Xenopus tropicalis: one gene and its partners. The protein of the gene in region 1 purifies or fractionates together with the protein of each later gene. This does not show direct contact. Links are inferred from orthologs where the notes say so. Each region holds a gene or a part of one and is shown on either strand. Other genes may lie near its edges. The genes, in order: wwox, dvl2, erbb4, wbp2 and vopp1.

Region 1 (4,762 bases):
TATGTATGTGTATATATAGATATACATATAGTAATATACTGGGAAACTTTAGATGAATTATATAATGAATATTAAATACTAAAATTAAATGTAAATTGTCAACATATAATTGCTCCTATTTAATATTGTTCTATGTCAGATTTCATATACTCATATACAGTTGCAAAAGTACAATGTATGAAAAAAAGGGGGAAAGTTGTGCTCAACCACTAAATTTTAAACCATTAGGCGGGGTGCAATGAGGTTGTGACCACAAAATACATATAGATAACAACAAGAGATCAAACAATCCCTGTTTTGCTTAAAGGGGAGGGCATTTCTTGGTAGCTTAATGCACAGAAAGTCTTAATGTCCTATATATGTTGATAATGGGTGCAGAAAGTACAATGTACCCATTTACCTTGTCTTAGTTAAGATGAGTTATCATTTTGTTGGACAGCTGCTATGATCTTATGGCTAGCAATGCATTTCTAGATTAAGTCAGGTATGTCCTTTTCTGATGCACAATGCCAGCGACTACCATGTGCATTGGCAGATGAAAGAGTGAAGAGAAGTTAATTTTACCAAAATTTACATTGTAAATTTTTTAAATTGTACTTTTTTCTAATGCTGTAATAGGCCACAGTTTGGACTCGCACACTTTATGTTCTGGTGTTCTAATGGTCTGATCCACAACTTGCTTTATATCCCTGCTCACTACAAGCTTTGGTGCCACCCTAGTGTGGACTAGTAATTGGAGAAGAGTTTAAAGGGAAATATTTTTCATTTAGGCTCGTCATATATTTCTTCATGTTCAGCGGACCTGAATGGGTTAATTCTCTTAGGCTGTTTCACCTGGGGAATAATTAGTAGCTTGAGATCTGCTAGCAACCCAGAGAGAGGATGGCCCTAGTAAGAGCTGGAAGACCTGAGAATCTGTGTGGAAAGAGGGCAGCAGTTTGAAATGCTGCTGAGTTATAAAAGAAAAGGATTCTGAGAAGGTACACTCCGTGTAGAGTTGTACTTTTGTTCTTAGCCGTGAATGCCTGTAGAGAGGGTAAATGCCATGTTAGAACCCAAATGTGGCAAAGGTTTTGATTTATTTTTGTTTTTCATGCTAATGAACTGTCTGTCCTGGAGAGCACTGGAAAACATAGAGAAAGTGCTGAGGAGCTAGCAAAATGCTATTGAGCTCTGTGCACTTAACTCACCTTGGCTGCCTGCCCCCGCCTCTTCCGCTTGTGTTCTCCCGCTCCCACACTTTCACAGACCTGAGCTGCATCTCACTCCCTCCCACCCTGTGCTAAACTCAACTGGGAAATAACTGTTTAAAAAAATATATATATGTATATATAAAATATATATATACAGGTATAGGACCCGTTATCCAGAATGCTCGGGACCAAGGGTATTCCGGATAAGGGGTCTTTCCGTAATTTGGAACTCCATACCTTAAGTCTACTAAAAAATCAACAAAACATTAATTAAACCCAATAGGATTGGTTTGCATCCAATAAGGATTATTTATATCTTAGTTGGGATCAATTACAAGGTACTGTTTAATTTCTAGAGAGAAAAAGGAAACCAGTTTTAAAATTCTAAATTATTTGATTAAAATGGAGTCTATGGGAGACAGGCTCTCCTTAATTCGGAGCTTTCTGGATAACGGGTTTTCGGATGAGGGATCCCATACCTGTATATGTTTTGTATAAACCATTGTCTCTTATATTTGTTGCGAAAATTATCACAGCATATGGCGGGTGATAGTCCTTGACAATTTAATTTCTGGTGTTAATTGATGTCTGCATTTGCAGTGGCCGGCATTTGGTTATAAAACAGCTATAAGTTCATTAAGATGTTTTTGTACATGTGGAAAAAAAGATGGCAAGGACTAAGTGTTTTTCTAATAAAGCTGTGGCCGACCTGCACCCCACTTATGTGTCCTGGTGTTTTTTGCTAGGCTCAGTTAGCTTCGGTAAGTAGTGTCCTGTAGAGACAGCTTTTTATGAAAACTTAAATCAGCTGTGATACTGCTTTGCCCAACTGTTTAATAAATTAGCTTTGTTTAAGAACCACTAGAGCTAAATTGTTAAGTTGCACCATATTACAGTATATATTGGTAAACCTCACCAGTAAGCAAGGCTCTAATGTCCCAGCAGCCAAGGGGGCATTTTGGGAAACTGTATTTCCATGCAGAATGTATCTTCTACTGTGGAAGAAGCTGACGAAATAACATTCTCAAAGCTTATTTAACAGATGCCAACATTAGCAGTGTATTACAAGATGAATAAACCTGTTCAAAGTAAAACCTAAGCTGAATTTTGAGTAAATATTCGTAAAAAGAATTACAACTACTTTTAAATTCTTAATATTAGTTATATACCAATATTACATTATACAGCACAAAAGCGCTATTAGATTGTTATAACAATGTTATCTTGTATTAGTCATTCCTTTTTTCTTGATTGAATTACATAAATTATTCGTAATTTGCATTTCTTTCTGTTCAACAACTTTAGCATGTAAGAAACTGATTATAGCAGAGGCTGGTTACTTCTTGCTGGATTGTAGTAAAGTTTTACTGGCAGGATGTCTAAAAAAATAGTTCACCTTTTTTCCCTTAGATTTACAGAAATTAAAGATTCATCAGGGAAACTTGACCTGAACCTGCTTTCCCCATTGAAGAAAGACTACTGGGCCATGTTGGCTTACAACCGTTCCAAGTTGTGCAATATCTTGTTCTCCAAGGAGCTGAACCGCCGCCTTTCTCCCCATGGGGTGACGTCTAATGCAGTACATCCGGGAAATATGATGTACTCCTCTATTCATCGCAACTGGTGGGGGTATACATTGCTGTTTGCTTTGGTACGGCCATTCACAAAGTCCATGGTGAGTGAAAGGTTTTACATATCTTCTGTTTTCTGAGTTGAATTAAAGTGTATAAAATATCCAGATGTACACATTTGCATTTACATCTTTCAAAACTGTAGGCTTTACATTAAGACTTCTATGTGATCTTGAGATGGTAGTTATATTGAAATACTCCCTCAAGTAATACTGAGTGCCGGGCACTTCAGGACTTGTTTATTGAGATAATTGCTTGTTGATGTGCAATACATTCGTCTGCAGAGTGGAGACAAATGAAATGTGATCTGGTAAAAAATCTTGGAAATTGGCTCTTCAGGATAAGGAGGGGAAAGGGAGCTTGTGCTAAACATGTTTGCCTGTAATTTATTGAAATAAGTATGTGCCCAAGAAAAATGTGAAGTATTGGTAAAAACAACTAAGTGACCTTGTCACCTTTACTTCTGGTTGCATAAAAGGAGCATTATCTGTTTTGTACATTATAGCAGTAGAGTTCTTGGAAAAACCAACATCCATTGCATGCAAGCCTAAATTTGGCTTTAAATCTCTGCATATTAACAGTTAATAATTCCATTTAATTGTATCCTATTTAGAGAAGAATATATCCTCTGTTTGCATAATTAGGAAATAATTAAGTCTGATATTACTGTGCGCATGGAACATTCATTCCGTGCATTTTTGCTTGACAATTAGGTGTGGGTGCTGGAATATTGCTTACCTCCACTGGCACTTTAGACATCATGAAAATAATGGATTCTGTTTTTTTCCAAGTGGCAGCTAGGTGATATTTTATTGAAGGAAAATAAATGGATGATAATCCCTACTTATAAATGAGGTATATTTCCTCGTTACATTTCATTAGCGTAATGCAAAAATCCCAGTGGCTGTTGGCAAACTGGTGGGAATGCATATATATTGATATTTTTTTAGTGGCAGGCCTCAGTAGGAGGATTTACATTTGCTGCTTAATGATGAAATTATAACTTCCAAAATTTGGACAGGAATTTGCTTCAGAGAATAAATTAACTGCTATAAGCTTCTTTGATGTCTTCCAAGTAGAGATCTATAAATCTGCAAGTGCTGAGCCCAAGTTACTATTATCACACATTGGCTGTAACTTTGATAGAACCAAATATTTTTGTTGGCAAGGATCTAAGCAGAAGAATACCATGTGTTAGGGGGCAGCAAGCGCTTAGCAGATGCTACAAGGAACTCAAGTTTCAAAACCCTTATTTTTTAACATTTAAAAGTGGGTAAGGTTTGTTGAAGTTCTGAGACTATTCAGTTACGTTTCCTGTTTCATTGGAAAGCCAGTCATTGTGCTAGAACTTTAACAGATGTGCTGTTCCCTTTTTAATAGATGGGAATAAAACTCTGGTTCTCTTGCAGAGTTATAAATTACAGCATGAAAGCACAAGCTGTCACCGTGTTAACCTTAGCTAGCCACAACAGCATGAATCTGCCCTCAAATAACCTGATGCACAAAGATTTATTACTCTAACATGTACCAAATTCCAGAATGGCTGGAGGTGTCTGTCAGGTAGAGTTGGGAATTTTGTATGGGTTTTTTTTTTCAACTTTGAAAGGATCTAAAGAATCACATTTTTTTTGTTTTGTGCATACATATACACACCATTGTTATACAAACCGCATATATTAAAAATGAAAGCCTCATTGGAACAAATTAGCCATTCTGCTTGTGGACTTAAAAGGTGGACTCAAGTCCAAAAAAGTAGTATGCCACACGCAGGCTTCTGTTCTAGCTCAAGTAAACCAGCACCCTTTAGCAGTCAAGATCTTCACCACTGACCTTAACCCAGTAGCTCTTATATTTATATATATATATATCCCCCCTAGCTTTTGAACATTGAACAGCTGTAAAGACATGCTAGCATGTGGGTGTCACTGACTGGCAGAA
Region 2 (4,762 bases), on another chromosome or scaffold:
ACTGTGTCTGTCCCTTTCCCTTCCCTGCACTGCTGGTTCTGACTCCTGATACAACTCCCCAATATCCATTCATTCCTCATTCTCACTGGGTTTATAGTTATGTGCCGGTTGGGTGCCTGTGTGGCGCCGGTTGGGTGCCTGTGTGGCGCCGGTTGGGTGCCTGTGTGGCGCCGGTTGGGTGCCTGTGTGGCGCCGGTTGGGTGCCTGTGTGGCGCCGGTTGGGTGCCTGTGTGGCGCCGGTTGGGTGCCTGTGTGGCGCCGGTGGGTGCCTGTGTGGCGCCGGTTGGGTGCCTGTGTGGCGCCGGTTGGGCCGGTGGCGCCGGTGGGCCTGTGGCGCCGGTTGGGTGCCTGTGTGGCGCCGGTTGGGTGCCTGTGTGGCGCCGGTTGGGTGCCTGTGTGGCGCCGGTTGGGTGCCTGTGTGGCGCCGGTTGGGTGCCTGTGTGGCGCCGGTTGGGTGCCTGTGTGGCGCCGGTTGGGTGCCTGTGTGGCGCCGGTTGGGTGCCTGTGTGGCGCCGGTTGGGTGCCTGTGTGGCGCCGGTTGGGTGCCTGTGTGGCGCCGGTTGGGTGCCTGTGTGGCGCCGGTTGGGTGCCGGCCCGTGGGTGCTGGGGTGCCTGTGTGACGCCGGTTGGGTGCCGGTTGGGTGCCTGTGTGACGCCGGTTGGGTGCCGGTTGGGTGCCTGTGTGACGCCAGTTGGGTGCCTGTGTGACGCCGGTTGGGTGCCGGTTGGGTGCCTGTGTGGCGCCGGTTGGGTGCCTGTGTGACGCCGGTTGGGTGCCTGTGTGACGCCGGTTGGGTGCCAGGTTGGGTGCCTGTGTGACGCCGGTTGGGTGCCTGTGTGACGCCGGTTGGGTGCCTGTGTGACGCCGGTTGGGTGCCTTTGTGACGCCGGTTGGGTGCCTTTGTGACGCCGGTTGGGTGCCAGTTGGGCGCCCGCGTACGTTTAATTCCCCCCCTGTCTCTCTGGTGCAGCTCGTGTCCTCCGAGACCTCCCAGACGGATTCTGCCCCCCCAGCTGCAGAGGTCCGACCCGACCCACCCCCTGTCCCACCCCCTGTGCCGCCGCCCCCCGCAGAGAGGACCAGTGGTATTGGAGACTCGCGGCCTCCCTCCTTTCAGTAAGTATGAGGGTGTGGCCCCGGGGCCCCCCTGCCCGCAGGAACTGACTGTGCTTATGTCTCTCTCAGCCCCAACGTGTCGGGCAGCACCGAGCAACTGGATCAGGACAACGAGTCTGTAATCTCCATGCGCAGAGACCGGGTCAGGCGCCGAGACAGCACCGAGCAAGGTGAGGGGCACCGGGGGCACAATGCCAGGGTACTATGGTTGCTTGGTTCCCACAGGTGGGGGAGGGGCCGGGGGCACAATGCCAGGGTACTATGGCTGCTTGGTTCCCACAGGTGGGGGAGGGGCCGGGGGCACTGGGGGCACAATGCCAGGGTACTATGGCTGCTTGGTTCCCACAGGTGGGGGAGGGGCCGGGGGCACAATGCCAGGGTACTATGGCTGCTTGGTTCCCACAGGTGGGGGAGGGTCCGGGGGCACAATGCCAGGGTACTATGGCTGCTTGGTTCCCACAGGTGGGGGAGGGGCCGAGGGCACTGGGGGCACAATGCCAGGGTACTATGGTTGCTTGGTTCCCACAGGTGGGGGAGGGTCCGGGGGCACAATGCCAGGGTACTATGGCTGCTTGGTTCCCACAGGTGGGGGAGGGGCCGAGGGCACTGGGGGCACAATGCCAGGGTACTATGGTTGCTTGGTTCCCACAGGTGGGGGAGGGGCCGGGGGCACAATGCCAGGGTACTATGGTTGCTTGGTTCCCACAGGTGGGGGAGGGGCCTGGGGCACTGGGGGCACAATGCCAGGGTACTATGGCTGCTTGGTTCCCACAGGTGGGGGAGGGCCGGGGGCACAATGCCAGGGTACTATGGTTGCTCGGTTCCCACAGGTGGGGGAGGGGCCTGGGGCACAGGGGGCACAATGCCAGGGTACTATGGCTGCTTGGTTCCCACAGGTGGGGGAGGGGCCTGGGGCACTGGGGGCACAATGCCAGGGTACTATGGCTGCTTGGTTCCCACAGGTGGGGGAGGGGCCTGGGGCACTGGGGGCACAATGCCAGGGTACTATGGCTGCTTGGTTCCACAGGTGGGGGAGGGGCCGGGGGCACTGGGGGCACAATGCCAGGGTACTATGGTTGCTTGGTTCCCACAGGTGGGGGAGGGGCCGGGGGCACAATGCCAGGGTACTATGGCTGCTTGGTTCCCACAGGTGGGGGAGGGGCCGGGGGCACTGGGGGCACAATGCCAGGGTACTATGGTTGCTCGGTTCCCACAGGTGGGGGAGGGCCTGGGGCACCGGGGGCACAATGCCAGGGTACTATGGCTGCTTGGTTCCCACAGGTGGGGGAGGGGCCGGGGGCACTGGGGGCACAATGCCAGGGTACTATGGTTGCTTGGTTCCCACAGGTGGGGGAGGGTCCGGGGGCACAGGGGGCACAATGCCAGGGTACTATGGCTGCTTGGTTCCCACAGGTGGGGGAGGGGCCGGGGGCACAGGGGGCACAATGCCAGGGTACTATGGTTGCTTGGTTCCCACAGGTGGGGGAGGGGCACCGGGGGCACAATGCCAGGGTACTGTGGCTGCTTGGTTCCCACAGGTGGGGGAGGGGCACCGGGGGCACAATGCCAGGGTACTGTGGCTGCTTGGTTCCCACAGGTGGGGGAGGGGCCGGGGGCACAATGCCAGGGTACTATGGCTGCTTGGTTCCCACAGGTGGGGGAGGGGCCGGGGGCACTGGGGGCACAATGCCAGGGTACTATGGCTGCTTGGTTCCCACAGGTGGGGGAGGGGCCTGGGGCACAGGGGGCACAATGCCAGGGTACTATGGCTGCTTGGTTCCCACAGGTGGGGGAGGGGCCTGGGGCACAATGCCAGGGTACTATGGCTGCTTGGTTCCCACAGGTGGGGGAGGGGCCTGGGGCACTGGGGGCACAATGCCAGGGTACTATGGCTGCTTGGTTCCCACAGGTGGGGGAGGGGCCTGGGGCACTGGGGGCACAATGCCAGGGTACTATGGTTGCTCTGTTCCCGCAGGTGGGGGAGGGGCCTGGGGCACAGGGGGCACAATGCCAGGGTACTATGGCTGCTTGGTTCCCACAGGTGGGGGAGGGGCCTGGGGCACTGGGGGCACAATGCCAGGGTACTATGGCTGCTTGGTTCCCACAGGTGGGGGAGGGGCCTGGGGCACTGGGGGCACAATGCCAGGGTACTATGGCTGCTTGGTTCCCACAGGTGGGGGAGGGGCCTGGGGCACTGGGGGCACAATGCCAGGGTACTATGGTTGCTCTGTTCCCGCAGGTGGGGGAGGGGCCTGGGGCACAGGGGGCACAATGCCAGGGTACTATGGTTGCTCTGTTCCCGCAGGTGTTGCCAGGGGGGTGAATGGACGGGCAGAGCGGCACCTCTCGGGGTACGAATCCTCCTCGACGCTTCTGACCAGTGAGATTGAGACGAGTATCTGTGACTCGGAGGAGGACGACGCTATGAGCAGGTACTGTGGCCCCGCCCAGATGCCAGGGAGTGGGAGGGGCTTGCATGGGGCCTGATGCCAATATGGCTGTTCCCTCAGGTTCAGCAGTTCCACGGAGCAGAGCAGCGCATCCCGCCTCCTGAAGCGCCACCGGCGCCGCCGCAAGCAGAGACCCCCCCGCCTGGAGAGGGTGAGTTACAGCAGGGATAGCTATAGAGTGCCCTGATTGGTGCTCCAGCCAGGCCCCACCCTCAGCCCCGCCTTCTCTCTCTTACAGACCTCCTCCTTCAGCAGCGTCACCGACTCCACCATGTCCCTCAACATCATCACCGTCACGCTGAATATGGGTGAGTCGGCCCCGCCCACTCTGCTCCCATTGGCTTAGCTCGCCTTCTCTGTACCCCAGGGGGGCAGTTACTGAGACAGGAGATTGACCTTTAACCCTGACTCACAGCTTCCCCCCACCAATCACTACAGCCCTGATGAGAGGAGGAACAGCTCCCCCTACTGGTCAGTGGGCAGTGCTTGGGCCCAGGCTTGGCGCAGTTGCACCAGGGGTGTCCGGGGGACTCCCAGCCATGTGACCCCGCCCCTTTATGGGCAGTTCTTAACCCTTTCCTCTCCCTCCCCAGAGAAGTACAATTTCCTGGGCATCTCTATCGTGGGGCAGAGCAACGAGCGCGGTGACGGGGGCATTTATATTGGCTCCATAATGAAGGGCGGAGCCGTGGCAGCCGACGGGAGGATTGAACCCGGGGACATGTTGCTGCAGGTAAGTGTTGCCCCTCCCTTGCTGGATAGGTAGATACCCCCGGGCACTTACCCCCATGCACTCTCTCTCTCTCTCTCTGCAGGTCAATGACATCAATTTTGAGAATATGAGCAACGACGATGCTGTTCGTGTCCTTAGGGATATTGTCCATAAGCCGGGGTAAGGGGGTGGGTCCTAGGGGCAACTAATAGCCTGGGGGGTAAGTGTTTATGCCTTTAATTTTACCCTGCCTCTCTTACAGGCCTATTATCCTGACCGTGGCCAAATGCTGGGACCCTTCCCCACAGGGCTACTTCACTCTCCCCCGCAGTAAGTCCCCCCACTTCTACACCCCCCTCCTCTTGTACCCCCAAACTCTTTCTGCACCTCTTCCATGTCCTCCCTCACTGTATTGTCTTCTACTCTCCTCCCCCTACCGAATCATGTGACCCAGTCGTCTCCTCCCCTGCCCCTCCCATTCCC
Region 3 (4,762 bases), on another chromosome or scaffold:
ACCGAATAGGGTGTTGGTACCTTTAGGGCTAATGCTCTAGGCAGGCAGACCTAATAGGGAGGTACCTTTAGGGCTAATTAGAGGATAGCAGTGGGGTGTGAGTTTACTCTAGGAGTGAAAGCTAGTGAGGCTAGCGAGAAAGGACAACCTGTTGTCTCAGTGAGGTGTAGGATTTAGGGGTAGAGCCCCTGAGGTAACTGTATGCAGGGTAGTGAGTTTAAGTGTTTAGGTGTAGGTTAGGAGACCTACGGGTGAAGCTTGGACACTTTAAGGAGACAGGGTCCTGGAGGCTTTGGTGAGAAATACTGTATGTGAGTGTGAAAAGCAGAGAGAATGAGTCTGCATAAGTACTGTGTAGTGTGTATTGATCATCCTTGAGTTTGCAACCAGAGCCCCGGTCTGTAACCTGCCTCCCTGCAAGAAGCTGTTCATTAAAAGTGCTTTTTGTTCATCGCAACTGCATGAAGATGCCTACTTCTTGTAGTAAAGGTCATGTACATGCGTTTGACAGTAACAGGAGTCTAGCAGCCATGGGGAGCTCCAGCACACTCCAGCACTTAAGCCATGGGGTAATATAAATGACCCCTAGTATCTGCAGTCTCTTTTGCCTTGCCTTCAAAGTTTCCCTCAAAAAATGTATAGATTTACCATTCTTCTCTAAGACTTGTGGTCTGAGATGTAAATTTAGACAAGTCTGATTGAACAGAAGCTGACGAGAACCAGGAAAAGTTAATTAGTGAAGATTTTTGCATAATTACAATCGTGTCCTGACACTAAGGTGTTTTCATAGATGGATCTCAAATGAAATTCGACAGCAGCTAGTTTATTATGAGAAAGGCTTGAGAAGGGACAGTCAGAAACGTCATTAATATAGGGTTCGGAGAACCATCACAGAGGGGACAGTGAATAAGAAGACAGCCCGGTAATTGAATCAATCAGTCATTTGTTTTTTGCTGCTGGGCCCAGGCTGTAGGTCAGCAAGTCATCAAAAGCTGTGGCAAATTTCACTAATTACTACTCTACAGGACAAAGCTGTTATATCACAGCAGTCTTTAACCCTTCTTACACCATAAACGAATTATATCATTTCCACAGTCCATTCATTGTTTTTATAAAGCTGCTTTTTTTGCTACACAAAAATACATCACAAAGGCAGAATTATCTATGAAATGTAAAACCAATCTTCAGTGGGGCCTGGGACACTAGGGGCTAACGGCAAACACCCATGAATTTTCTGGTATGTGTATTCTTAGCAAGCATTGTTAAGATTTGTAGAATGAGTTGTAGGCATTTAGTAAAAGAATGTATGCGTATAATAAAACAAATTTGAATGGGAAGCATAGTGATATTCTAGTCCCTGTTTTATATAAAGGTGATATTAACTCTGCTTTCAAATTCTGATTTTCCCACAAAAAGCAATATTATATTGCCTACACAAACAATATACCCCTAATAATCATTTTTGTGATTTTTTTGTGACTCACCTGTAACTTTTTTTCCGCTGCAAATTTTTCTGCCTGTAATACAAAAAAATTCACCAATAGGGAAATGCGGAATTTCGCAGCCAATCCATGCCTGCCGAAAAATTTGTGATGTGTATTTCTTCTGTAATTATGCAGTTAACAAAGAAAGCTAGCACATCCTACTAGAAAGTTCTCTGTCTCCACTGACATAGTTTAATCATTAAAGTTCTCTTTTGGGTTTTGTCTGCCAGATAATGGCAAGATTATATATTTTAACCTTACAAACAAAGGGTTGTGTGATAATGGCTGGGGAATTGCAGACATCCTGAATTACAGATGTTTAGTAATTAGTTCCACTTGAGTAGACCTACAAGACTGAACTGCGCCACTGGCTTTTCCAGCAGGACTTACTGTGATGTACATTCTTAGTGCTTGGTGTAAGCTTATTAACCAGATACAGTGATGCACAAAATGGTATAAACTGTAAACACATAAAGGGAGTGTAGATAGATCTCGTAGATAGATATGTATAATAAATATAAATATCTTATGCATACATTAATACATACATATATCTTAATGTAAATGACATGTTCTGGAGAGGAAGTCTGTCATTTCTCGCTGTAGGAATCATTACTAAAATGAATATGTGTACTCCACATCACAATTGCAGGGATATTTTTATGTAAAATATTATCCAAAACAATTATTTGTAACAAACTCTATGGAGCACATTTACTAATCCTCAAATCCGAATCCCGAATGGGAAAAAATCGGATTGGAAACGAAAATTTTGCGACTTTTTCGTTGCTGTTGCGGTTTTTTTGTATTTTGCGCAACTTTTTCGTCGCCAGCATGACTTTATCGTATTTTGCACTATTTTTTTCGTCGCCGTCACGATTTTTTCGTATTGAGCAATTGTAAATGGCGGAAAAACCAATCCGAATTTTTTGCGACGGCGACGAAAAAGTTGCGAAAAATATACGATAAAGTCGTAACAGCGACAAAAAAACACGCAAAATCTGAAAAAAACGCTGCAGCGATGAAAAAGTCGCAAAATACTGATCATTACGGAAAAAACCCATTTGGGCGCTTTCGGACATTCGTGGCTTAGTAAATGTGCCCCTATGCATCCACACAGACCACAGATCAACATATTGTTAGGTGACCGCCGCTTTATTTGGAGTTTTACTAAAATTTGTCCTTTTCAATGTATGTTTTCACAACTTTTAGGAAGGCCTTTTCTTGAACCATCCAAGTGGTTTTCATGGCTACTATCCCCTCTTTAACCACCACAGACCTTTGGATATACCATCATTTTAATAGGACATGGCACACAGTGACAAATGATTGACTGACTCACTCCAAGTAAAAAGCTGGACATGGAGTGCAATACCAAGCTACAGTAGATACAGCATACCTTTTGGGCTTCATACACCACTTACAATGACCCTAGGGCAGTGTACAGTACTTGCACACACAGTGTTCTTATAATGTGATGGGTATACCTAGGTTGGTAAATTAGTTTTAGAGTCTAACAGCCCTGTACTAAACTACATTATGAAAGAGTTCCTTTGGGCTCTTATCTGCCCTTGGTTATTGCTATATAGACATAAAAGAAATTGGTGTCACAGTAATAATGCATTATGTGATGTTGCTGTGGCTGCCGTTCCAGTGGGACTTTATCTGTGTCAATCAATATGTAGGCCCCTGTTAATTTGTTTAGCAGCATTTATGTACATGCAGCAAGCTGTGTAGTCCTAAAAGAGTCTCAGTAAAAATAAGCATTCATTGATTGCCCTCATATTTCTTCTACAACAGATAATTTGTCTGTGATTATAGAACATTGTTTGGTAATCATCATTATGAAATTGTCAATAATAAAAGTTTGTCTTCTGTCTTTGTCTTCCATAGAACCAGTTTGTTTATAGAGATGGGGGCTACACCACTCAAGAAGCAGTAAATCTTCCCTTCAGACCCACTGCCTGCCCAATAACAGAACTCTCAACAGCACAGGGGGCTACAGCTGAAGTCTTTGATGATGTTTGTTGCAATGGCACACTTTGTAAACAGGTGGTATCAGAGCGAATACCAGAGGAGAGCAGCCTGCAGAGATATAGTGCTGACCCCACTGCATTTGTGCCGGAACGCAACCCCAGAGGAGTTGTCGGGGAAGATGGCTATATGACTCCCATGAAGGAAAAACCGAAGTCTGGTAGGTAGTGACTACTGTTGATAGTCCTGTATAAAAATATGATATTGACTAATCTTGAGAATGTTTTTGAACACTTTTTATCTCTGTTGAAGTAGTCAGGTATCTTAAGGATCATTAACAGAAGGGCAATCAGAAGAGAACAACCTTAGAAAAAGTTTGCACATCTGTATCATGGGAGTGAGTACTAGAAAGCTCCATGATGCTTCAGACTGATAGATGCTGCCATAGCAATTAGGAAAAAAACTAGAAATGCATATGAAAGTGCTAACAGTAATACTGTAAAAACACACTCAAGGTAACGTAACAAAAGCCTGTTCTAGTAACCGGATGCAAGCTTTGAGGCATTTTTATATTACCTGTAAAGGGATAATGTATTAAGTGTCAGAAGGCGTGTGCATGGTCTAGTAACCAAACCGCCAGCATCTGACTTTAATGTGGGTCACTAGAACTTAGTGATATTTTTTCAGTTATTATTGTGTTTTCATATGTAAATATTTTCTTGAATTTATGATCCCCCCCTCGAATCAGAATCCTGTCAAACATATTGAATGTATTCAAGTGTCCTTGTACCATGTGGTAAAGGGAACAGAGTATAATGTAGACAATTTGTGCAGAAGAAATTATTCCATACTCCGGGGGTGACTGCTTGTTTACAAACAGTAGCACATACAGTACCTGCAACATTTTGGGTATAAACGTCTCTCTGTCAACTTTAACTGTCAATATCCTATAAAAACTAAGATCCAGTTTAGGAGTATTTTTCCAAGAAGAATCCTCATATGTATTAAGTAAGAGTTTCCATTACATGTGGTTTTCCTGACATCCTTAAAAACATTAAAAGCCATAAACACATATTAGAAACCCTACAATAGTTTAAGACTAATATAGAATTAAAGAATAAGCTATTGAAATTATTTTGTATTATACAGATATTCTGCTGGGTTAGTTTGAAAAAAAAAGCCCAGCGTTGTCAAGAGCAATACAAGAGGACCATAGATTTAAAATGATGTAATTTTTGTACTCTCATTGTTAATCTACAATTTATCAAAATGTCTTAGACGCTGAAATGGCTGATAAGTCAGCT
Region 4 (5,326 bases), on another chromosome or scaffold:
TTTATGGAGATTTGTACGGGTCAGAAACTCCCAGCAGTACGGAACTACATTTCTAAACACTAACCCAGAAACCTGCATATTCAATTCAAGACCAAGAAAATGATATATTTTCAAAAAGAACACATTCCCCCGAATCCAAAATGGGTACCCATTTTTCTACTGCAAAGCAGTTGGTGAGTGATTATTACATGGAGAAGTCAATCATATCAGGTACAAACGATGGTAGTAGGCATGGTAACCTGGTAGGGACTTTACGTACAGAAGAATTCCACGTGTGGTAGTGAATTCTATCTGAGTGACGAGGGTTTCAATTATAAACGCCGAAGGGTACTTGGTGTAGTCCTGGGAAGGGGCGCGGGGTGGGTTTTGTTCAACCATTTCCCGGCTCCAATAGGTATTCATACATCTTAGTTACTTACGGTGGCCACACACGTGGCAATTTTTGATCTTTCGTGCAACCATCAGTCGCACGAAAGATTGTTCCCACCCTCCACTTACGTTCAGGGCTGAAACGTCAGATATGGAGGTAGAAACAATAGGATTTCTACTAGAGCTGGGCGATATACCGTTTAATACCGAATACCGGTGTTTTTTTTAAAACTATATTCATTTTTCAGATACCGCAATACCGGGGTGTCAGGGTACTCACCCGTGCGGCCCGTTCTCGCACGCCTCCTTGCGCGCGCGTCCCGTTGTCCGCGGGACATTGCGCACGCGCGTCCAGGTGTGTGTGCGTCAAAGCGCACGTACATGTCAAAGCGTGCACGTCCGCGACGCGCTAACGGCGCCGGTTCTGCGCATGCGTGGGGGGTATTTAAAGCTATCAAACGCCTCCTCCTGTGCTATGTTGTCTGCGGCCTTGCCTGGGAAACTAAGCCTGCCTGATTTACCTTACGACTTTCTGTTGCCGATCCTTCGCTTGCCTGACTCTGATTTTCAATACTACAGTAATTATTCTCTAATTTATTAGGAAATGGGGTTAACACCTAATCATGCATGGAAAAAAAAAAATACCGTCAAATACAGCGACACCGATATCATTTTGAAAAATACTGCAATATAAATTTTTGGCCATACCGCCCAGCTCTAATTTCTACCTCCTTCTGCCGATTCAGCGCTGAAGGCAGATTTTGCTCAGGCGCCTTCTACGGTGCCCAAACAAAATCTTTTAACCGGTCCGATTGGTGAGTCGACAGCCTTCTGTGATATCGGCCGCCTCGCCGAGTTGCCATACACGCACCGAATATCGTATGAAACGAGGTTACGTATATTATCGGTGCGTGTATGGCGGCTTTACCCTGGCAATACCGGACCCACCGTATGTTAGAGAAACGCAACGTAATACTTACCTGTAAGATAACTTTACCTCAACTAATATATACATCGACCAGTTAGAGACCTTCTTGTATTTCCGCCGCTATACTAAGGGGCTGATTTACTAATCCACGAATCCGAATGGGAAAAATTTGGATTGTAAAACGAACATTTTGCGACTTTTTCATATTTTTTGTGACTTTTTCGTAGCCGTTACGACTTGCGCGAATTGTCGCGACTTTCGTATTGAGCGCTCGAAAAAGTCACAAAATACCGATCATTACGAAAAAAAAACACTTTTTGGACGTTCGTGGGTTAGTAAATGTGCCCCTAAGTGTAAGAAGGGGCGAAGCAACTACGCGGGGAGTATGAAATAGCTTAATATCAGCCCTGTGATAACCTCAATTGGGATTGTATGAAATCCTGTTAGGAGAGGTTTGTAGTGAAGTAGTATGTTTAACTAACTAATTGGCCGATATAACTGTACAAAATAAGATTGGATATTCCCCATAAAGTAGAATTTAACACTTACTGCCCTGAATAGCCGCCCAAACACAGCGCTACATTGGTAACAACCGTAATACACGGAGCAGCTCTGCGCCTCAGCGCTAAGTGATCGTTACAATGAAGTATTAGCAACGCAGAAACACAACTACAACATTAGCGCCTCAAGCGGCCATGGTTTATTTTCAGTGATACACGCCCCCTAGCGATCAAGAACACATGCCAGTCATAGATCCCTCAGCCAATGAGCGGCCGGCCCTACAGCAGTGGAACCGCCCAGACTGCGTCTCAAAGTGCGAGAGACTCTTCGAGCACGGTGATTGGCTGTTGCTAGGCTGCGGAGGTGTGACCTTTTTATCTCCGCAATATGGCCCTTAACAGGAACCACCTGGATGGCGGAGGTGCAGTAATTAACAACAGCGAGAGGTAGGACAGCGGCTAAGTAGAGAGACAGTCGCGGGAAGCAGTCAGCGAAACGTTAGACGGACCCCCTGCATGAATATGGGTTCCGGGTATCTGTCATCATATATGGGGCGGAGCTTGGACATGACGAGCAGGGATTTGTGCCAATTATGGAGCTGATACAGATACACCCGCCTCCCTCTCTTTGCCTGTCTGCTGTACTATTTGTATAATATTGTGTGTGTTTTCCTATTCCCAGGCACAATATACTTAATTCTATCAGCATATCTATATATAATATGTCCCACATGTATCCCTTGTGAGATTTACTTACTAAACCCCCTTTATTATTATTTATATTATTAATTTAATATAATATTCTTATGAAGCACTTACATAATCACATGATACAGTGGAGGGGTGTATACAGTGCTGCAATATGTAGGAGATATTTAACGCTCAGACCCGGGGAAGGCAGAGTGACCCTGGAGATTATAGGAGGCCCCATAGGGCACTGACTGATAAGCAGTTTTAATAGCTTTATTATAAAAAATGTCTTATTCCTAAAGTTTATTGGGGCGCTAAAATGATTTTGCTATAGGGCTCAGTTATGCCACTGAAACCGCGTATCATTCAGTGTTCTGTTGGATCTCTTACGGTGTCGGACTGGCCCACAAGGATAGCAGGAAAACTCCCGGTGGGCCCAGATGTCAGTGGGCCCTCCTGCTCCTCAGCATTTGGCCTGCTTCATGGTCATTCCCTGTTTCTGAATGGGAACAAAGAAGAGAAATAGATGGAAGAATAGATGCTAGCATGTAAATAAAAGAGACTAGGAGAATAAAGAGGTTGGGTGAGGAAAGGAGGAAAAATAGTTTGGAAAAGCGGCCTGGGGTCTAAGGTTTTCTGGTGGGCCTCTGGGTTCCCAGTCTGACACTGATCTCTTATACCTTGGCAGTTGCAGGGTCTTCTTCCTCTACATTTACACCCTTGGGCACTCCTCTTATTCCTCAAACAGATAGTCAGTTTGGCCCAATATCATGAAGATGCACAATAACCACCCCCCACACACACCACACCCCCAAGGGGTCCCCATCATCCCAAACCCCCCAGTCTGGTGGAGGGACGTCAGTTCAGGAACACCAGCAGGGATCGAGGGGCCCGCTTGGTTTTTTCCCGGTGTCCAGCTGGCAGTTCGTCTTTGACTACTAAACTGCACTGTTCTCATTGAACTTGCCCTTTATTATCTTCCAGTATCCTTACTTCTTATGAACATGTGGAGGTCACATTTAGTGACATGGACAGCACCCCAGAGGCTTTCAGAGGGACCAAGAAAGGCAGAGTCATTCTGACACCATATCGAGTAAGTCTGCCTCCCTTTTCCTTCACTCATTAGGTGCAGTCTGACTCATTGGCACCATGGAATAAACTGCTAATGTGCAACTAAACTTTCCATTAGGTCAGAGAAGACACTTGGGGGTTATGTAATTAAAAAAACTAAATTTGCCCAGGAACAGTAACCCATAGCAACCAGTCAGCAGGTAGAATATACTTATTGGTTGCTGTGGGTTATTGCTATCAGGCAAACTTAAGGTTTAATCGAGTGGATCATTTCCACCTAAGGTGGGCAAAATTTGGCTAAATCGATTGTTTCGCCACCTGCCCATTTTTATCCAGATATTGGTTGGGTAGGCCTGCTGGGGGGCCCCATGGGCAGATAAGCGCCCGAAACGGTCTGAAGGACTCAAATCGGCAACTTAGATTTGCCAGTGTATGCCAAACTTTAGTGTCATTTATTACATATAGGGCTAGTGCCCTTCTACACCTCCTTAATAAAAGTCACAGAGGGGATCCATGAACATATAAAGGCGGCACAAAATCACTTTAATACAGGCCCTAAAGCTTTGAGGTGTCTAATATTCTCTCATTTTATTCCAAGGGGGTACATTATTCTTTCAGTTATTATTATTTCAGTGAGTCATGTGACACAGATTCTAACCTATTTATAAGCATATCTTTTACGGCTCTTGTGTATTATGCATGTGGGTGAGGCTAATTTTGCATCCACAGGTGATATTTGTGTCCAAAGGAAGGGACCCCATGCAGTCGTTCATGATGCCCTTCTATCTGATGAAGGACTGTGAAATTAAGCAGCCCGTATTTGGAGCCAATTTTATCAAGGGCAACGTGAGAGCTGAGCCTGGAGGTGAGCAGTGTTACTATCTGACGGATACCTATGCGTTCTAGGTCCCACTTCAGCTCCTGGGACACCTGCCTTTATTTTTTGCTAATATAATTTGCTGTAGGTTAAATATATCTTTTAATCTGGAATTCATTTCTTTGCCTGCAGGTGGTTGGGAAGGATCTGCTACATTTAAACTAAGCTTTCCTTCAGGGGGCGCTATAGAGTTCGGCCAGCACATGCTACACGTGGCCTCTCAAGGTGAGCAGGGGGTATCTGAAGTCACAATCTCTTGACATTTAGTCTGGACTCCCAGGACTACCTAGGAGAGCAAATACACATTTGCCACAAGCCCCACACCTCGGGGAAAAGATTTAAAGGGAAATCCCAATGGGTCAGAAATTCTGCCTCAGCCTTTGCAATGCACTTTTTCCTTTACCCATTTTTATAAAATATGGTTTCTACTCGCCCTTGTAGCCTCAAGTGGAGGAGCTCCAAATGTTGCCTACCCATATATGCCCAATGGGGGCTACGTCTTCCCACCTCCTGCAGCCAATGGCATCTACCCACCTCCACCTGCTGGTTATCCTTATCCGCCACCACCCAGCGGTAAGTCATTTTACTCACTATTATAAAATACAGGTGTGAGATCTGTCATCTGGAAACCCATTATCCAGAAAGTTCTTAAATATCTCACATAGACTCCATTTTAAGCAAATAATTCAAATTTTTCAAAATCATTTACTTTTTCTCTGTAATAATAAAACAGTACCTGTACTTGATCCCAACTAAGATATAATTACCCCTTATTGGGGCAGAACAGCCCTATTGAGTTTATTTAATGGTTAAATGATTCCCTTTTCTCTGTAATAATAAAACAGTACCTGTACTTGATCCCAACTAAGATATAATTACCCCTTATTGGGG
Region 5 (4,220 bases), on another chromosome or scaffold:
CTTGCCCCCCCTTGGAAAATTTTCTGCGGACGCCCATGTCTGTGTGTGTGTGTATATGCTGTTTGCAGATTTAAATGTAACTGATTATGTATCAGAGGAAAAATGGCCACCGGGTGAAAGCTGCTATTTGCTTTAGGAAAATGTTGATGGTGCTGGCAAGCGGAGGGGATATATGCAGTACTAATGGTGCCATTTGGATGGGGGAGATGTGCCCAACTGATATACATTGTAGGCAAATGTAGGCTTTACATGTCCTTTAACACCTCAAGACTTGTGTCTGTACCATTGGTAATTGGGCCCCTGTCTGTAAATGCACAGGGTATTTTTATTTCCTTATGACGTTACTCACCTTGTGTTCATGTATATATAACTACTATCCAGTAATGCTGGCATCTTTCCTTAATTGCAGTCCTGTTGGGTGATAAACATAGTTTCTCACTTCTCTTTAGGTTCCTCTTGATGATGGGTGTACTGTTTTGTTGTGGGGCTGGATTTTTTATCAGAAGAAGGATGTACCCACCTTTGCTTGTTGATGAACCTACTTTTAATGTCTCATACACCAGGCAACCTGCAGGGCCTCCACCAGGTAATTACTCTGTATTTTTTCATAGCGTTTCATGTGGCAGAAACTTGAAGATAAAGTTCATTAGTGATAAGATGTGTAAGGAATCATTAGGGCCTGGACACAAGTGCAAGAGTGCTAAGCAGCGCAAAAATTGTGCTTTTTAGTGCTAATTCAGTAACCACACACGGCCATTCACTGGATTAAATATCTAGCGGAAGGTAACAGGCACCAGGAGGCCCTCCCTAATGTGCCACCATAGGATAGGGCAGGTCTCCCCGACTTGCATGTCTGATGATGCACAGGTTAGGAATGCCTATATGCTTCCCCCAGCCTGCCTTCCCTGAGTACAGTACTGCCAGCACTGGCAATTTGGTTTTCATGGAGGGAGAGGAATGAAGGTGTTTGGGGGCACCCATTGTCTTGCCCTACACCCCTGTAATGTACTCATTAGGAATCATTTACAGGCTCAAGAGCAAACATGAGTGCACACTTGCATGTATTTAATTGAATGTATAGGGCACAGGGAGAAGGCAGCGCTGGACAACTGCTGTACTATAAGGTAGCTCAAAAGTATGTGTAAAGTTCTGCCTTAGGGCCCACACATACATTTTTTAAATGTTCCTGGGTACAACTACGCTCATGTGTGTTAAAGTGTGCTTAAACCTGCACCTCAAATGTAAAGTGTGAGAGCCCTTATATTGCTTCAACTCTGTGAAAATATTCCAGCATTCTGAAACTGCAATAAGTGTAGTGCAGTGTGCTCAGTTACATGGCAGGGAATACAGCAGAGTGGGAACAAAAGTACAAAGAGCAAATGTACTCTAATCATATGGTAAGAGCAGAAAGAAAGGGCAACTGTCACACAATGGTACTTTCCTTCTTTTTAAAATGCTTTAGTATTTGCTTGAAGCATTTTAACCGCTAATCTGCCACTGTAATCCCTGCTTGATACATATAAATACATATCCTGGATTAGTAAACTTGCCAGCTACAGTACTTGCTACCTATGCTGCTTCTGTGGCCCTTGAAGCTTTAACAGAAACTCCCAGGAACTAATCTGCTCTCCTAATACATCTTTCTTCCTCCACAAAGCCAGTACCTGTCACCACCCACCAAATACACTAAAACCCTAAAACTCATTATTTCTGACTCTTAGTTCTTTACTCATATTGGCAAAACTTAATTTCCCTAGTACAGGGATCCCCAACCTTTTATACCCGGGAGCCACATTCAAATGGAAAAAGAGTTGGGGAGCAACACAAGCATGGAAAAAGTTCCTGGGGGTGCAAATAAAAGCTATAATTGGCTATGTGGTACCCCCTATGTGGACTGGAAGCCTACAGAAGACTCTGTTTGCCTTTACACTGGGTTTTATGCAACCAAAACTTGCCTCCAAGCCAGAAATTAAAAAATGAGCACCTGCTTTGATGCCACTGGGAGCAACATCCAAGAGGTTGGGGAGCAACATGTTGCTCCTGAGCCACTGGTTGGGGATCACTGCCCTAGTACATTCTGCTCTTTGGTGCTTATGTATTGCCCCTTACAACAGATTAACTGCACTAGAAGTGGAATAGGAAAAAATAAAGGCATGCAGTTTTTTTTGCAGGACCCCAGCACCCAGGAATGCCATATTACTCTGATCCAGGAGGAGCTATGGGAAACCCAGTGACACCATCCTTTCATGTTCAGCCCTCTCCACAAGGGAATCCACCATTCCCTCCTCCACCTTCTTACTGCAACACGCCTCCACCTCCTTATGAGCAAGTGGTGAAATCCTGCAAATGAACCCTCGGCAGTTTCCTTAAACCTGACTCTTGACAAGTGATTGACTTTACCACAAGGAGGACTTGGCTCTGCACTAGCTCAGCTGGCATAAGAGTATTGCTAGCCTCAGTACTGGCTTGCCGAATGGAATGGATGTCTTGTTTTTATGGAAAGTGGTTGCAATCCTGCCAATGTCTGTAACTAGTATACCTTTTTACCTTTCCAGCACCTGGCTGGGGTGGGATGAGGGTGTAATTGTCCCAGGTCTCCATTCTAGTGCTGAAGAGGCCTAATTTTTTTATCACTCTTATGTAGTATGTAGTTACTCTAATGTACGTATGTTTCTCAACTGGTGATGTACATTACATATCGTTGCCTCATGGTCCCAAGAGTGCTAGCAGATCATGCAATATCTTCAGTAAAAGGCATGCTCTTGACTGAACCTTATTTGAATACGTGTTTTTAATCCCAATAAATAAAACTAATTTTATTGTCAGAATTGTTAATATTTCCATTTTCTTATTCTTTGTTCCTATTTGTTCTTTGTGATTGATACTTTGTAAAGAAACCATTTTTCCTTTCACTTTTATACTATAAGCCAGGACTTTGGGGCAGATTTATCAAAGTAAAATTTATCACAGTAAAATTCCACTGCTCCCTATTCATTTCTTTGGGAGTTTTAAAGTTATATTTATTAAATGGTGAATGACCAGTGCGGTGGCCCATAGCAATCAATAGACAATAGAAAATAGTTTTGAGCAGCCTATTGACAGTTTGAAAATGAAAGCAAAGATCTGATTGGTTGCTATAGGCAACACCAGAGGTTCAATTTGGCACCTATCTTTATCAGTCCCTAAGCCTGCAGAATGAAACCGCGGAATGACACTCAAAAGAAAAGAAAGAAAACGAAAATAATCCACATTATATGGACATTCATTTGGGCAGCGGGTCTCACCTGTGCCTATGGTACTCTGTGTGGGACAGGGTGAAACAAATATGGCAGTTGGTACATGTTTTTTTGCACTTTGCACCCTGCCCTGCACTTTGTAAATGGGACCCACTGACTTTTGAAACTATTTCAAGACTTTTAATCTGGCCATGCATATAATCATCTTCTCATTAGACAAAAGTGACATTAAGGGGCATATTTATTATGCTGTGTAAAAAACGGCGAGAAAATTCGCCACACATCGCCAGGCTTCACTGTGTAAAAACAGCGTAATCATTTACGCGTTTTTTCTTCCACCGGAACTTATGGAAAATAACGGCGTAATATCCGGTGTTCAGACGGCGATCTTTTCCATTTATTTTACACAGCTTTTTACTCCGTTTTTTCAGCGAATTAGTTTTACACAGCATAATATATTCCCCCCGTAGTCTGATCCAACCGCTTGGGCCATCACAATAACACTAAATTAATGGTCTGACAAGATATCTGGATTATTTAGCTCTATACATAGGACAATAAGCTGAAGAATATGGGAGTGCCTGTGTATAGGCAGGTTGAAGCGTTTACTTAACAACGCCAGTATGGGCAACATTCAATGTTCATATTATGCGTTTTTTATGCAGTTTTTAAAGAGGACCTGTCACTTTTTTAAAACCGCATTAAAGTGTTTGCAATTAAGGTGAACAACATTACAGTTGAAATAAAAGTTTAATATTACTAGTGAAAGGAATGTTTTATAACTTACATAAATAACGTGTCAGGAAAGCACCATTTTGAAAAATTATTGTTTCTCCCTTCTGCCCTCGCACTGTGCGCATCTAAAATCTCGCACATGTGCAGTGACAGATGCAGGAAGAAGAGAGGAGCTGAACACGTGTTCCATTTGTTTCCATTCCATTGTTTACTCCACCCCCTCCCTCTAGCTTCTGATCGGGTCTGTAA

What was found.
Region 2: the proteins of wwox (region 1) and dvl2 purify together in Homo sapiens (affinity purification with mass spectrometry; 4 studies listed by BioGRID and IntAct, counting the BioPlex papers as one, with this or other methods). This does not show direct contact. The link is inferred for Xenopus tropicalis from reciprocal best matches to the Homo sapiens genes WWOX and DVL2.
Region 3: the proteins of wwox (region 1) and erbb4 purify together in Homo sapiens (affinity purification with western blotting; 4 studies listed by BioGRID). This does not show direct contact. The link is inferred for Xenopus tropicalis from reciprocal best matches to the Homo sapiens genes WWOX and ERBB4.
Region 4: the proteins of wwox (region 1) and wbp2 purify together in Homo sapiens (affinity purification with mass spectrometry; 3 studies listed by BioGRID and IntAct, with this or other methods). This does not show direct contact. The link is inferred for Xenopus tropicalis from reciprocal best matches to the Homo sapiens genes WWOX and WBP2.
Region 5: the proteins of wwox (region 1) and vopp1 purify together in Homo sapiens (affinity purification with mass spectrometry; 3 studies listed by BioGRID and IntAct, with this or other methods). This does not show direct contact. The link is inferred for Xenopus tropicalis from reciprocal best matches to the Homo sapiens genes WWOX and VOPP1.

The regions. Positions count from the first base shown.
Region 1 is NC_030680.2:54,292,796-54,297,557, reverse strand, and holds part of wwox (WW domain-containing oxidoreductase), read left to right. Parts: intron 1-2,603; coding exon 2,604-2,868; intron 2,869-4,762. UniProt on the Homo sapiens protein: Putative oxidoreductase. Acts as a tumor suppressor and plays a role in apoptosis. Required for normal bone development. May function synergistically with p53/TP53 to control genotoxic stress-induced cell death.
Region 2 is NC_030679.2:153,293,430-153,298,191, reverse strand, and holds part of dvl2 (segment polarity protein dishevelled homolog DVL-2), read left to right. Parts: intron 1-971; coding exon 972-1,117; intron 1,118-1,186; coding exon 1,187-1,287; intron 1,288-3,422; coding exon 3,423-3,549; intron 3,550-3,627; coding exon 3,628-3,718; intron 3,719-3,805; coding exon 3,806-3,875; intron 3,876-4,160; coding exon 4,161-4,300; intron 4,301-4,382; coding exon 4,383-4,459; intron 4,460-4,541; coding exon 4,542-4,609; intron 4,610-4,762.
Region 3 is NC_030685.2:57,063,165-57,067,926, reverse strand, and holds part of erbb4 (receptor tyrosine-protein kinase erbB-4), read left to right. Parts: intron 1-3,377; coding exon 3,378-3,678; intron 3,679-4,762. UniProt on the Homo sapiens protein: Tyrosine-protein kinase that plays an essential role as cell surface receptor for neuregulins and EGF family members and regulates development of the heart, the central nervous system and the mammary gland, gene transcription, cell proliferation, differentiation, migration and apoptosis.
Region 4 is NC_030686.2:44,869,201-44,874,526, reverse strand, and holds the start of wbp2 (WW domain-binding protein 2), read left to right. Parts: upstream 1-2,118; 5' UTR 2,119-2,185; coding exon 2,186-2,244; intron 2,245-3,471; coding exon 3,472-3,580; intron 3,581-4,287; coding exon 4,288-4,423; intron 4,424-4,567; coding exon 4,568-4,660; intron 4,661-4,876; coding exon 4,877-5,008; intron 5,009-5,326. UniProt on the Homo sapiens protein: Acts as a transcriptional coactivator of estrogen and progesterone receptors (ESR1 and PGR) upon hormone activation. In presence of estrogen, binds to ESR1-responsive promoters. Synergizes with YAP1 to enhance PGR activity.
Region 5 is NC_030682.2:56,943,238-56,947,457, reverse strand, and holds the end of vopp1 (vesicular, overexpressed in cancer, prosurvival protein 1 precursor), read left to right. Parts: intron 1-449; coding exon 450-586; intron 587-2,159; coding exon of another isoform or gene 2,160-2,171; coding exon 2,172-2,350; 3' UTR 2,351-2,835; downstream 2,836-4,220. UniProt on the Homo sapiens protein: Increases the transcriptional activity of NFKB1 by facilitating its nuclear translocation, DNA-binding and associated apoptotic response, when overexpressed. May sequester WWOX in lysosomal vesicles and thereby regulate WWOX role as tumor suppressor.